Diceros bicornis minor: one gene and its partners. The protein of the gene in region 3 purifies or fractionates together with the protein of the main gene of each other region. This does not show direct contact. Links are inferred from orthologs where the notes say so. Each region holds a gene or a part of one and is shown on either strand. Other genes may lie near its edges. The genes, in order: ENDOG, tubulin alpha-1A chain and DNAJA1.

Region 1 (4,136 bases), on a different chromosome or scaffold from region 3:
GGGTCTGGTTGGATCCAAGGCCACCATTTCCAGGAAGCCTTCCCTGACCTCCAACTTTTGTCAGCCTGCATGACTGGTCCTTCCGCGTGAGGCGTCTGTGCCCTGCTTGGCTCCCCCAGGAGGCTGGGAGCTCCCCGCAGGGTAGAGACTCACTTTCACCCTGTCTTCCTCATGCCCAGCACTGGGTGAAGCAGGGTGGCTGGGGGCAATAAATGCTGCTGAAGGAATCAGGCCTTCTCAAGATTCCCATTTGTCCCGCACACGTGACCACTGTGTCTCCCCGTGGAGGGTGAGCACCAGGGGGGCAAGGCTGGGACAGCTGAATTCCCAGCCCCAGCACAGGGGGCCTGATGCACAGTGGTGCCTGAACACTGGAGGGGGACTTCCGGGCTTCCCCCAGCAGAGTCTGCTCCATCTCAGCAGGCCATAGGAGGCACTTGCTAATTCAGGGTTATCAGTGCCCCAGCCACCGCCTCAGCCAGCCCATACTGAGCCCTTACTAGGGTGACATCCACCTTCCTACTCTGTCCCCTAATAGCTAGGAGGTAGGTAACTGGCATTTTCCCAATGTTAGAGGAGAGGACGTGAGGTCATTTGCGCACAGTACTGAGACTAGGCGACGGGGCCTGGGCTCCATCCCAGGCCTGTGGACTGGGAGCCAGCTGCTGTGCCACAACCCACTGCCTCCCTCATGCCCGTCTTCAGCGGGCCAGAAAAACCATTGAGCATGCCAGGGGGCGCTCAGTCCCTTCTACCGGCAGACAGGGCTGCAGAGGAACAAGCGTGAAGGCTCAGGGTCAGGAAGATGGAGTGGTGACCTGGTGGTGCTGGCACCAAGCCTGGGGTAAGCCTGGGCAGGGTGAGTGGCAGGAGGGGGCCTCTGGTGAGGGAGGCCCTATCGTCCCCAGGGCCCCCAGTTGTAGTCTTACCTGGGCAGGAAGAGCGGCCCCGTACAGACATAGACGTTTTGGTAGGCACGGGTCAGGCTTCGGCTGTACTTCTCCAGGTTGTTCCAGGCGTTCTGGTTGAGGTGGGGCACCTGGTGGGAGAAGTGGGGCTCAGGGCCTGTGGCTGGGACCTTTCCTCTCTGTCAGAGGGGCTGCCCCAGGCCCTGAGGGGCGGGCACTGGCACCAAGCCAGGAGATTGGTGGGGGGGGGGGGTAACAGAGGGAACAGGTTAAAGGAAAGGAGAGTCGCTCCAGGCCACCTGGCCATGAGGGTAGAGTCCAGATAGAGCTCAAGGGGGAGCTAGCTCACCCCCATCTAGCATGAGAGGACTAGCACCCCAGGTTTCAAAGCCATTTCTCAGGTCCATAGAGCCATACGAAGGAAAGGGACACATCTCCTTTCAAAGAGAGAAACTGAGGCCCGCCCCTGCCCCCAGGGGCTCATGGGAAGGCCAGCTCACCCAACCATCTGTCCTTTCCTTTTCCCAATCAACCGCGTGCAGAGCACAGCTGGGAACATAGTGAATCTGCTGGACTCCATCACTTGGGCTCTCCAGTCCTCAGTATGGTGTCGAGTTAAATGTGTGGGGGACTGTGCTGCTGGGAGCACAGAAGTCAGGTGCAGAGGCTCAGACCCCACGGGCTTCCCCCAGAGCCCCACATCAGTCTCCACCCACTGGGTGCCAGGCCCTGCTTCGAACAGGGCTAGAGGTAGGGTGGCTTGTCCAGGGGGCACAGTGACTGCTACTAACAGCCGACTGACTGCGTGCCAAGTAACTTTCCTTTTACTCCTGGAAGGCAGGCAGGCAGGGGAGGACAGTGGCTGAAAGTTCAGGGTCCCCTAGACAGACTCCCTGCGTCTCCTCTTGCTGTGTGACACTAGGCCAGTCACTCTGCCTGAGTCTCAGTTCTCTCATTATAGCTAACATTTATTGAATGCTTGCCATGGGCCAGGAAGTGTGCTCAGTACTTTTATATGCATTGTGTCTTCAGTTCCTCCGCGCTACTGCAGGAGATAGGTGAATAACAGTTTATCCCCATTTTACAGACAAGGAAACTGAGGCTTAGGGAGGCGCCCAGGGGCCCTGTGTTAAGGTCAGCCTGCAGAGCAGGTGCTCGCGCCCCAGCGCTCCGTCCCTCCCGCCTCGGGCGCGCGGGGTGATGACCGCGAGCGCGCACCAGGCAGCTTCCCCATCCTGCAGAGGGGCAAACCGAGACTCAGAGAGGGAGGCGCTGGCCCCGCTCTCCGCCGCCGGCCGGGGCGCGGCGCTACCTGTGGCGCGACATTGCTCAGGTAGAAGGTGTCGTCCATGGCCTTCTGGCTCCAGCAGTGGTTGGCGGCGGCGGCGAGGTGGCCGCGGTCGAAGCCGCTGCCGCGGTAGTCGGCGTTGGTGGCGCGGTGGTACGCGTGCACCGAGTCGTCCTCGCGGAAGTCGCACGAGCGGCGGTCGCCGTCGCCGCGGAGCCGCTCGGGCCGCAGCTGCTCGACCACCCAGAGCGCGCCGCGGGTGCGCGGGTCGTAGCACAGCACGTACGACTCGCGGCTCTTGAGCTGCGCCACCCCGGGCAGCCCGTACTTGGCCAGCTCGCCGGGGCCGCCGCCCGCCGGGCCCCCGGGCAGGGCGGGCAGGTCGGCCGCCGCCGCCACGGGGAGCACGGGCAGCCGGCCCAGCAGCCCCGGTGCCGCCCGCGCGTCCGCCCGCCGCCGCCGCCGCCAGCTCTCGGCGGCCGCGCCCAGCCCCGCGCCCAGCGCCAGGATCAGCCCGGCCCGCAGCGCCTGCATGGCCGGGGAGCAGGGCCGCAGCGCGGGTGGAGGGTGAGGCAGGGCGACCCGCGGCGCCGACCGAACGCCCCGACTTCGGGCGTCCGACCCGCGAGGCTCTTAAAGGGGCCGCGCCGGCCTGCAGGGCCCACAGCCGGGAAAGTGCCGGGTCGGGGCGTGGGAGGGTGGGATGTCCGTCCCCTCTACTAACTGACGCTCCGAAGTACTTGGGACTCCAACAGACGCCGTCGGGACCGGCTCGGAGTGGACGGCACGGCGCCCTTTCTTTGCCCTTTTAAGAAGCGGACCTGAGGGGGGGAGGGCAGGACACCGCCGTCTAGGCTCGTGATTGGCCACCGCCAGGCCCGGCTCCGCCCCGCCCCGCCCCCTCTCGGGTCTCCACCGAGGGCCCCTCCTCCTCCGCGCCTGTGCAAAGAGCTCTAACTTAAAGAGCGCCAAGGACACGTGAAGCACCGGTCTAAAGCGCTTCCATGACTACTTGATTTAATCCTCAAGAGGCCCGAGAGGGAGCTCCTCGATGGCAGAACAAGGACAAGACCCCAGGTCTGTCTGACGCGAGTCTATCCTCCTAACCATCACACCATAAGGCAACAATTCTAGGAGACTGGCAAAGATTTTAACACCCAGCGTGAGGGCAACGATGCAGGTGGCCGATGCTCACTGCTGGTTGGAACAGAAACTGATACCAGAAAGCAGCCTGGCAGTGTATATGAAAAGCCTTAAAAAGGCTCATACCTTTCATCCCACCTAGGGGACTGAGCTGGGGAAATAAACTGAGAATGCGAGGATTTCAAACACGAGTCTTCCCCACAGTATTACTTACGATAGAGGCTGGGAAATAAGCAAAATATTCAGAAATAGGGACTAGATCCAGACATTTTTAGCATATTAGATAGAACAGTATATAGCCCATAAAAGTATTTTAAAATCATGCAACAACTTGCTCATCACCAAATGTGATGGGGAGACAATACACAAAACTATATATATCAAGAAAATGACAATGATGTAATAAAAATTACATCTGCGAAGAAAAGACTAACATGTTCTCAGTGATTTTCTCCAGATTGTGGGATATGAGTGACTTGTTTTATTGACATGTCTTTGAATTTTCAATCTAAAATATAACTTGCTGTATAACCATGTATGCGATGCCTTCTTCCCCAGTCCACACTCCCTCCTCCTTCCAGGTGCAGACTGCAGTGGGTGAATGAGAAGAGCTGAACAGGCTCTTCCAACAAGAACTTCCTGGCCTTTTTCTTAGACCATCTAAGAGCCTCCTGACTCCATGCCTGCTCAAACTTTTTTCTCCCTGCTCTGAGGTTCAAAGGTTTCAGCCCATCACAGCACCAAAGCCCATTGCAAAGAACACATGATTTATTAAAGACAACTTGTCATCAACAGCA
Region 2 (4,136 bases), on a different chromosome or scaffold from region 3:
CAGCCCAGCAGGAATGAATGGGCTCTACAGAGCACAGTAAATGGTGCTGCAGACCCTGAAAATCTGTTGCTGAAAACTGAAAGAAAAATTATCTGCCAAAATACAAATTTTCAATTTTGGTAGCCATAAGAAACCTCTTTACCTCTGAAATTTCATTAGCAACGTCAGGTGGTACCCAGTCCAGAGTCTGATTCTGTATAGCCCATCCTTGTTGATAATGGAGCCTTTCTAAATAGCAAAAGAATGTTACTGCAATCCATTTCCTAGGGGTGAAAGCAAAGCCTTTTTGACCCAAGAGGCAGTTGAGCAACCACCAGAGTCTCTAGTTGAATAGCAACCATGTGAGGCTGGCAACAATTCCCAGTTTGAAGCTCAATCTCAGAGGAGGAGATTTACCAAATACACACAAGCACCACATAAAAAAGAAATGCAGTTATTGAGCTGACATCACACAGTTGTCTGTGGAAGGAGGCAACATTACAAAATGGTCTTCTTTTTACATTATACAACTCTCCTCCCTTTTAATTTGGTGTCTCAGTTATTTTTCTCTTTCCAGAAAAGAGAATGATGCAGAATATAACTGCATAACTGCACAGGTAGCACTAACTTCTGAACTCAATTCTTCCTCCCTGTATTTTCTCAATTGTATATCAGGAAAGACGATTCACTTTAAGGAACAATACACTACATAAAATATATTACATAGACTTCTGGTAAAGGAATATTTCTAGTAGACTATGATACGTTCATTAGATCTTAACTATTGCCATGTTAAAACTACTTGTGTGCTTCCATATTTAGTACTGTTATTCATTCCATCTTCCATTTTTGTTTAGCCATTTGCGGGAGGGGTGCAGAAGAAGGTCTGAAAATAAATCACTTGAACTTGAGAAACCATTTTGTACGGCTCTATTATTGAACTGTTTTTAAATTAAAAAAAAAAAATCACATTTACCCAAGCCATTTTAAGCATCATTCCCATCTTCTCTCCTACTTTATTTTAAAGCAACTAGAGATGTTGAATCCTCACCAAATGTAGTCGAGTTTAGTATACTTTGAGGGAGGGGCTGGGAGTAATTTTCCGTTAAATATTTCATCTCAACACAAATTCTACTATCCAGTGATGGGAAAAACCTTACACTGGTGATTTTAACTGGAGTTTGAGGTTTAAGCAATATAAAATCATCCAACCCCAGTTCTCTTTCTTTCCTTTTCCCCCCCTCCCCAACCCCACCCCATAATGGATGCTCGGCTGACTGTTTTTGCACGGTCTCTTTGTCTGGAGGATGCAAACAGTCTATGGATGCTAGGGAAAAAGGGGTGGGGGAGAGATTACCTCATCCCATGTCGCTTGCACCAATCACCTCTCTCCCGTCGTGGCTTCTCTGGGCAGATTGAGGGGTCTGGACCAACAGGAAAAGGCCCCAGCCCATCCCCATGGTGACCGAGTTGTATATAGGGAGCCGCATCCACCCATGTGCCGCAGGTTCTCTTACATCGACCGCCTAAGAGTCGCGCTGTAAGAAGCAACAACCTCTCCTCTTCCTCTTCGCCATCTGCTCAGCAGCCGCAAAGCAGCAACCATGGTAAGAATCTCTTTTCTCGGCTTTTTGTGGCCGTTGGGTGGGGTCAATCTCCCAGGATCTACTTGGAAAATCTTAAGCCCTTTTTTCTTTACAACTCCTTTGAGTAACGGTAGCTTATGCTTTGTTAGCGAGGTTTAGCTTTGCCCCAAATCCTTGAACCCGGCGGCCGCCGCAGTGCAGGGTGCAGGAGCCCAGCCAGAACTGCGCCCAGGGCGCAGGAGACCCGTGGGGAAGAACAAAGGCGGCGCACAGGGAGTTTTTGTTATCCGAGCCCTTCGGTACCGCAGGCAGCCCCTCTGTCGGTGACGAAAGGGTCTGTGGCAGGGAATGGCGATCGTGGCGTCGCCTGCTCGGCTCCCGTGTATGTGCGTACGGTATTCGTGTGACGCAGAGGGTCTCTTTTCTTCCTCGCGTTGTTCCCCAGAGGCAGGGAGAGGAGTCGTCGTCCAAAAAGACCAGGGGTCGGTGGGTGTGGCGGGGAGAGAAGGACAGGGACAAAGCGGAGCCTTGGGTTAGTATAAAAAGGTCCCTCCGCGACTCGTTGGTATTTTAGAAAGATACCCGTATATTAACCGGGCAAAATGGTTAGTTTTTGTTGGAGCCGCTGGCTGCCGGCGTCGGGGCGGCGCCGGGGCGGAGTTGTTTGTTTCTGGCTGCTTCTGCCTTGGAGCCACTGGGCGGGGTTCGCCCTCGCTAAACCTTCTCTGTCAAAAGACTTTTAATAAAAGCCTTTCATCGTTGTGGAACTGTAGGCGTTAAAAGGTTTATCATTCCTTGTTAAAACTTAGAGGAAATATTTTTTCTTGAGGAGCAAAATCACAGTTCACTTGACAAGCCCTTTAAAGTCTGGTCTGGGGCCGCCCCGCCCTGACTGACTCGAGTCTGTGTGTGTGTCTGTCTTGGCCGCACGTCCAGCAAGGGAGAAAGCCCACTTTGTGAGGTAGGGTACCCTAATGCTCAGGACCCAGGGAAACGCCCTCCCCAATATATCAGACAATGGATAGACAATGGAGGTTGTAGCCATAAAGACTGTAGAGAAGAAAATCTCTATTGAATGTGATGAGTATGAATATTCTGTGGTGGGAAGAGAATCTCAGAATGAAAATACTATTTTGTTATTTTAAATAAGTATTCCATTATCCTTTCACTGGGCTTTTATTCTTTGGTAGCTTCTCATGTGATACTTGTTTCTAATTTAGGAACTTGTTTTAAAGATACTAATTTTCAGTTTTTTGCAGTGGAGAAGATTCTGGAAAAACTTTTTTTTAAAGTAATGAAATTGCCGCAAAGAAGAATTATACTTTGTGTCCAGCTGTTTTTTGTTCTAGTGCATCTTCCTTAATTCATTTCAATTTAGGCATATGGTCCCAGCCTGGGTCAGAGGAGGAAAACTGGCAGAATAGCAGAATGAGATCATGTAGGCAGTTTCTGGAAATAGAGCTTGCTCTGTTAAATAATGTAGCAGACAGTACAGGCTAGCACCAGGCACAGCAAATACAGCAATGCAGCAATGCAGAGGCAGACCTTGTTTAGCTTCCAATCCGCTGGTACTGATGGATTCTGCAGATAGACTGCAGAAGGGTGTGGCTTCTAACATCAGCTGCAGTACAGATGTCCATGTTGAAATACCAAGTCATATTCAGAAGAAACTCTCATCTTTATTTAAAGGGGAAGGAGGTAGTAATATTGATTCCAATTGATTAATGGTCGAATTTAATTTACTTCATTTTACAAAATCTGTGCTTCGAATATTTTAAATATGAAAAAAATCTTCTAGTCAAGCATGGCTGTGGGAACAATGGACTTGTACCACGTGCTAAACAGTGCAACATTATTCAGATCACACCCATCTGCAGCATTTGTAGCAGGTGCTTCTCCTTAATCATTTCTATTGTGTTAGGGATATGACCTCAAATAAATTTGAAGAATACCTGTATATTACTAGAAATATTTTTAGAAATTTACTGAAAATTCAAAATTCTAACACAACCCAATTTTACAATTTTTCTCTTTCCTTCCCACAGCGTGAGTGCATCTCCATCCACGTTGGCCAGGCTGGTGTCCAGATCGGCAATGCCTGCTGGGAGCTCTACTGCCTGGAACACGGCATCCAGCCCGATGGCCAGATGCCAAGTGACAAGACCATTGGGGGAGGAGATGACTCCTTCAACACCTTCTTCAGTGAGACGGGTGCTGGCAAGCATGTGCCCAGGGCAGTGTTTGTAGACCTGGAACCCACAGTCATTGGTGAGTTGACCACACTAACCTGAGTGAGATCCCAGGGGTCTGGGACAGGAGGTCTGTCCTGGGGGCTCCGCTGATGCCCTGGGGTTGAGCAGGCTTGTGCAGGTGGTTAGTGATGGGTGGCTGCTTTGTCTTCCTTTTCCAGATGAGGTTCGCACTGGCACCTACCGCCAGCTCTTCCACCCTGAGCAGCTCATCACAGGCAAGGAAGATGCTGCCAATAACTATGCCCGTGGGCACTACACCATTGGCAAGGAGATCATTGACCTCGTCTTGGACCGAATTCGGAAACTAGTACGTTTATTC
Region 3 (4,136 bases):
CAATACTCCTTTATTTGCATTTATCACACAACTTCTCCTTTACGTGGTGACCTCCTTGCCGGCAGAGACCATGACTTCGTGATTTTCACATTATCAAGCCCTAGTACCCTGCCTGGCAGCATTAGACTTCTAGTAACTGCTAGTGAAAAGGAAAAACTTTATACCAGAGGTGGTATTTGAGAAGGTAACATCTAAGATTGGAAAAATTAGGTGTTTGTCAGCCAGAACAAAAGCACAGAGAGGTGAAAAAGTGCCTCTGGGAAACTGCAGATAGTTCGGTGTGACTGGCATGCACCTGTTTTGTTGTTTTGTTTTTTTGCGAGGAAGATCAGCCCTGAGCTAACATCCATGCCAATCCTCCTTTTTTTTTGCTGAGGAAAACCGGCCTTGGGCTAACATCTGTGCCCATCTTCCTGCATCTTATATAGGACACTGCCACAGCACAGCCTGACAAGCGGCACATGGGCAAGTGCCCAGGATCTGAACCCCCGCCGCCAGCAGTGGAGCGTGGGCACTTAACCGCTATGCCACGGGCCGGCCCCTGCATGCACCATTTAAATAAAAGAGAGAAGACTGAATACGCATGGGGACGCCTCCAGGATAAAGTTCAAAAACTGTTTAGCAAGACATACCAAGAGGTGTTCCCCAACTAGCTCTGAACCCACACTCCCTGCCACTCCAGCTCCCTTAGCCCTGGCTATATCCAGTTACTTGCAATTTCCTGGAAACATATTCTTTCACACCTCAGCCGTCCTTTGTACTTGTCTTTTGCTGGGAATGCTCTTCTTTCTTCAAAACTCTGCTCAACCGCCCCTTTCCCAAGGAAGCCTTCCCTGTTCCATCAGATGAATACAGGAGCCTCTCCCCGGCTAACCTGTCTTGTGGTGCCCTTATAGTGCATTGACTTGTCTGGTTCCCCACTGAAATCTAAGCAATGTGAACCCGGCTTTTCCAATTTTGCATCTCCAGATTTCTTGGTGCTAGATACTCCTAGCGGTGGTGTTCAGGGAGGAAGACAGACTCTCTTTTCCATTATACCCCCGTTCCAACATTTGAAAGCCCACAATCACTTTGCAGACCGTAGATCACGGTTCACAGACCTGGGGGGGGGGGGGCTTAAAAGTTAAGTCAGGTAATTGAAACAATTTGTTAGCTACCCTTGGTGGCCACTCTGTGTCCCCGGCTCGCCAAACCGGGGAACGCCCAGCCAGAGCAGTCCATGGCGCTCAGTCTGCTCCAAAGCATGACAACGTCTCCCCGTTCAGCGCTGCCCTGAGCCCAGCGTGCAGGAGCCAGGAGGCCGCGGCAGACAACGTGTCTCGGAGGCTGGACTTGCACAGAGAGCTCTTCCGAGGCCGCGGGCTGCGCGTGAAAACGAACCAGACCCAAGGCCTGCGGGACTGTTCTGTGGCCCAGGACCCTCTTGCTCAGCATTTCCTGCTCGGCGGGTTCCCAGAACCTCAGGGCTAAGGAAGCACGCCGGTGAGAGGCCCCAAGAGGCGAGCGAGGCGCCAGCGGGAAGAGGCGCGGAGGGGCTTTGTCCCGAGATGCCCGCCCCGCACCCAGCGCCCGCCGGGCCGGTGCCCGCGTCCCCCCGTCCCCGCGGGCCCCGGCCGCCGCCTCGCCGGTGTGGGCACCCAGCTGCAGAGCACCGGGGCAGGCCCCGCTCCCGCCCGACACTTCCGCACTCTAGGGCCGACCGGCGGAAAAAAAGGGCTCCAGAAAGTTCCACGAGCGCCGGGAACCCAGGCTAGTGCCCACCCCCACAAGGCCCTTCGGCAAGCCCCTCCCGGCCCGAGCGCCCCCGCGCCGTTGCCGGGCAACCGCGGGGCGGTGGGAGCGCCGGGAAGGGCGGGACTTCCGGTGGGTGACGCGACCGAGCTCGGCTACAAAAGACGACGGCTGCGGCGCGCCGGGGGAACTTTCCAGAACGCCCGGTGTGAGGCGGAGGAGCCGCGACCCGAGCTGCGCACAGCAACGCGCTCCCTCCCGCTCCCCCGCGCCGGCCTCGGCCCGCTCACCGGTGAGTGTCGGCCCCCGCGCGTCCCCTGGCCCCCATGGCGGCGCCGGGAGCCGGAGGGAGCCGCGGCCGGGGGCGGTTGGCTCCGCGTGGGCGGGAGGGTTGTCGGTTCCCGGACCCACGATCTCCTCCTTGGAGGGCTGGTGTAGTGCCCGGCCACCCATCCCCGGCCCGCAGCGAGCGACCCCGAGATTCTCCCGAAGTTTCCCCGCTCCCCATCCAGCTTGAGGTCCCCGCGGACCCGCCGGCGGCGGCTTGCCCGCGCGCGCGCGCCCCCCAGCGACCCTCTGCCCGCGCTCGCCGGGGTGGGCGACTCTCCGCGCACGCGCAGAGGAGCCGAGGGGCGAGGGGCTGCGGGCGGAGCGGGCGGAGGCTGCAGGTTTCGCTTCTCCGCTCTGCCCTCCTTCTCTTTGTTGAGCCCTGGGCTTCGCCTCCCGCCGCTCGATCTCGGGTGGGAGGGAGAAAAGGAAACCTTCACCGTCGGCGCCCGGCGCAGGGGGAAACCTGCCGACGTGTAGAGTGGGCCGGCTCGTGGAGGCAAGGGGGGTTCCGCGGGCGAAGCCGAGGAGCTCTAAGTCCTGTGATTGAGAAACATCCTTGGGGTTGAGGGGGAGGGGAGCCTGCTCTCTGGCGCCGGCGTTCTTAATTAGTTTCAAAACCCCTCCCAGCCCCCTTGTGCCCAGGTGTCTTTTCTTCTCTGGAGGGTATGGTTTATCAGATTTACCGAAGACGAAGATGATGTAATAACCAGTGGACTGAACCTATTAGTGCTCCTTTTGATTACTGCTGCCGCTCACTGCTTGGGGAGGCGAACAGGAAGGGTCCAGATAATAGTCGCGTTAGTGTGGAGGCTTTCATGTGGGAGAGGGGAACCAGCTGCTGTAGAAGGAGGCTCTTGAATTATTCCCTGATAATTATTAGCTTATATTTAGTCTGTTAGAACTCAGGGCTGAATTATCGAAGGGATCGTTACCTTCTCCGTGAACTTTAGGGAAGGCGGTGCTCTTATAATCAGATTTGGCGAAGAACAGATTTCTCTGCTTAACTCTGATTTTACTAATTAAAACTACCAGTTGAAAGTCGGTTAAAATTGCCTTTTCTTGTTTTATGCTGTAGAAAATGGTGAAAGAAACCACATACTATGATGTTTTGGGGGTCAAACCCAATGCTACCCAGGAAGAACTGAAAAAGGCTTACAGAAAACTGGCGTTGAAGTATCACCCTGATAAAAATCCAAACGAAGGCGAGAAGGCAAGTAGCATGCTCATATTAAACATAGCTGGATAGTTCTTTGCCAGGTGTATGGTATTTCTATTACAACCTGAAATTGACTATGTCTAATATAGTGGTTTTGCTTTGTAGTGTTTTTTTTAGTGAAATTTATTCCCTTTTTTCTCAAACAGTTTAAACAGATATCTCAAGCTTATGAAGTGCTGTCTGATGCAAAGAAAAGGGAATTATATGACAAAGGAGGAGAACAAGCCATTAAAGAAGGTGGCGCAGGTGGCGGTTTTGGCTCCCCCATGGACATCTTTGATATGTTTTTTGGAGGAGGAGGAAGGATGCAGAGAGAAAGGAGAGGTAAGAAGAGCCTAGTCCCCCTGCAGCAAATTAAAGAAGCCCTGGGTCAGAGCAAATTCTTGAGAATTCACTTATTTTAAATGCTTATTTATGTGTCGGTATAGTGTTGCAAAGTGACCATAAACTGCCACTTTGATTTACGGTATAGTTTTTTTAAATGAGATTTGATGTAACTAAAAATAGCTAAGCCAATCTAGTGCTAACAAGTGAGTGCTTCTAAAGCTCTCAGATACAGACGATTTCTGTGAGGTTATCCGGCATTAATTACAGAAACAAAGAATAGGCACATAATTTTTTTTTAAATTTAAAAATTAAAAAAAAATTTAAATTTTTACAAATCTTATTTGACCCCACCCACCTAGTGGGAGGTACTGACAAGAGGGAGTTAAAGTTCAGAAACCTAAAGTTTCCTCCAGGTTGGATGTAGCAAGGCAGCAGTTGAGTCAGGGTTGGAGCACAGGTTCTTTGCCAGCAAGTAGCCCGCTGTCCCTTGAATCTTGCTTTGGCTTTCTTGTATCAGAGTATGTGTCCTAAC

The links.
Region 1: the proteins of DNAJA1 (region 3) and ENDOG purify together in Homo sapiens (affinity purification with mass spectrometry; 3 studies listed by BioGRID and IntAct, counting the BioPlex papers as one, with this or other methods). This does not show direct contact. The link is inferred for Diceros bicornis minor from reciprocal best matches to the Homo sapiens genes DNAJA1 and ENDOG.
Region 2: the proteins of DNAJA1 (region 3) and tubulin alpha-1A chain purify together in Homo sapiens (affinity purification with mass spectrometry; 3 studies listed by BioGRID and IntAct, with this or other methods). This does not show direct contact. The link is inferred for Diceros bicornis minor from reciprocal best matches to the Homo sapiens genes DNAJA1 and TUBA1A.

The regions. Positions count from the first base shown.
Region 1 is NC_080767.1:36,566,581-36,570,716, reverse strand, and holds the start of ENDOG (endonuclease G, mitochondrial), read right to left. Parts: upstream 2,793-4,136; 5' UTR 2,731-2,792; coding exon 2,221-2,730; intron 1,040-2,220; coding exon 930-1,039; intron 1-929. UniProt on the Homo sapiens protein: Endonuclease that preferentially catalyzes the cleavage of double-stranded 5-hydroxymethylcytosine (5hmC)-modified DNA.
Region 2 is NC_080756.1:20,482,789-20,486,924, forward strand, and holds the start of tubulin alpha-1A chain, read left to right. Parts: upstream 1-1,480; 5' UTR 1,481-1,583; coding exon 1,584-1,586; intron 1,587-3,610; coding exon 3,611-3,833; intron 3,834-3,975; coding exon 3,976-4,124; intron 4,125-4,136. UniProt on the Homo sapiens protein: Tubulin is the major constituent of microtubules, a cylinder consisting of laterally associated linear protofilaments composed of alpha- and beta-tubulin heterodimers.
Region 3 is NC_080761.1:53,105,942-53,110,077, forward strand, and holds the start of DNAJA1 (dnaJ homolog subfamily A member 1), read left to right. Parts: upstream 1-1,918; 5' UTR 1,919-2,023; intron 2,024-3,136; 5' UTR 3,137-3,139; coding exon 3,140-3,271; intron 3,272-3,423; coding exon 3,424-3,601; intron 3,602-4,136.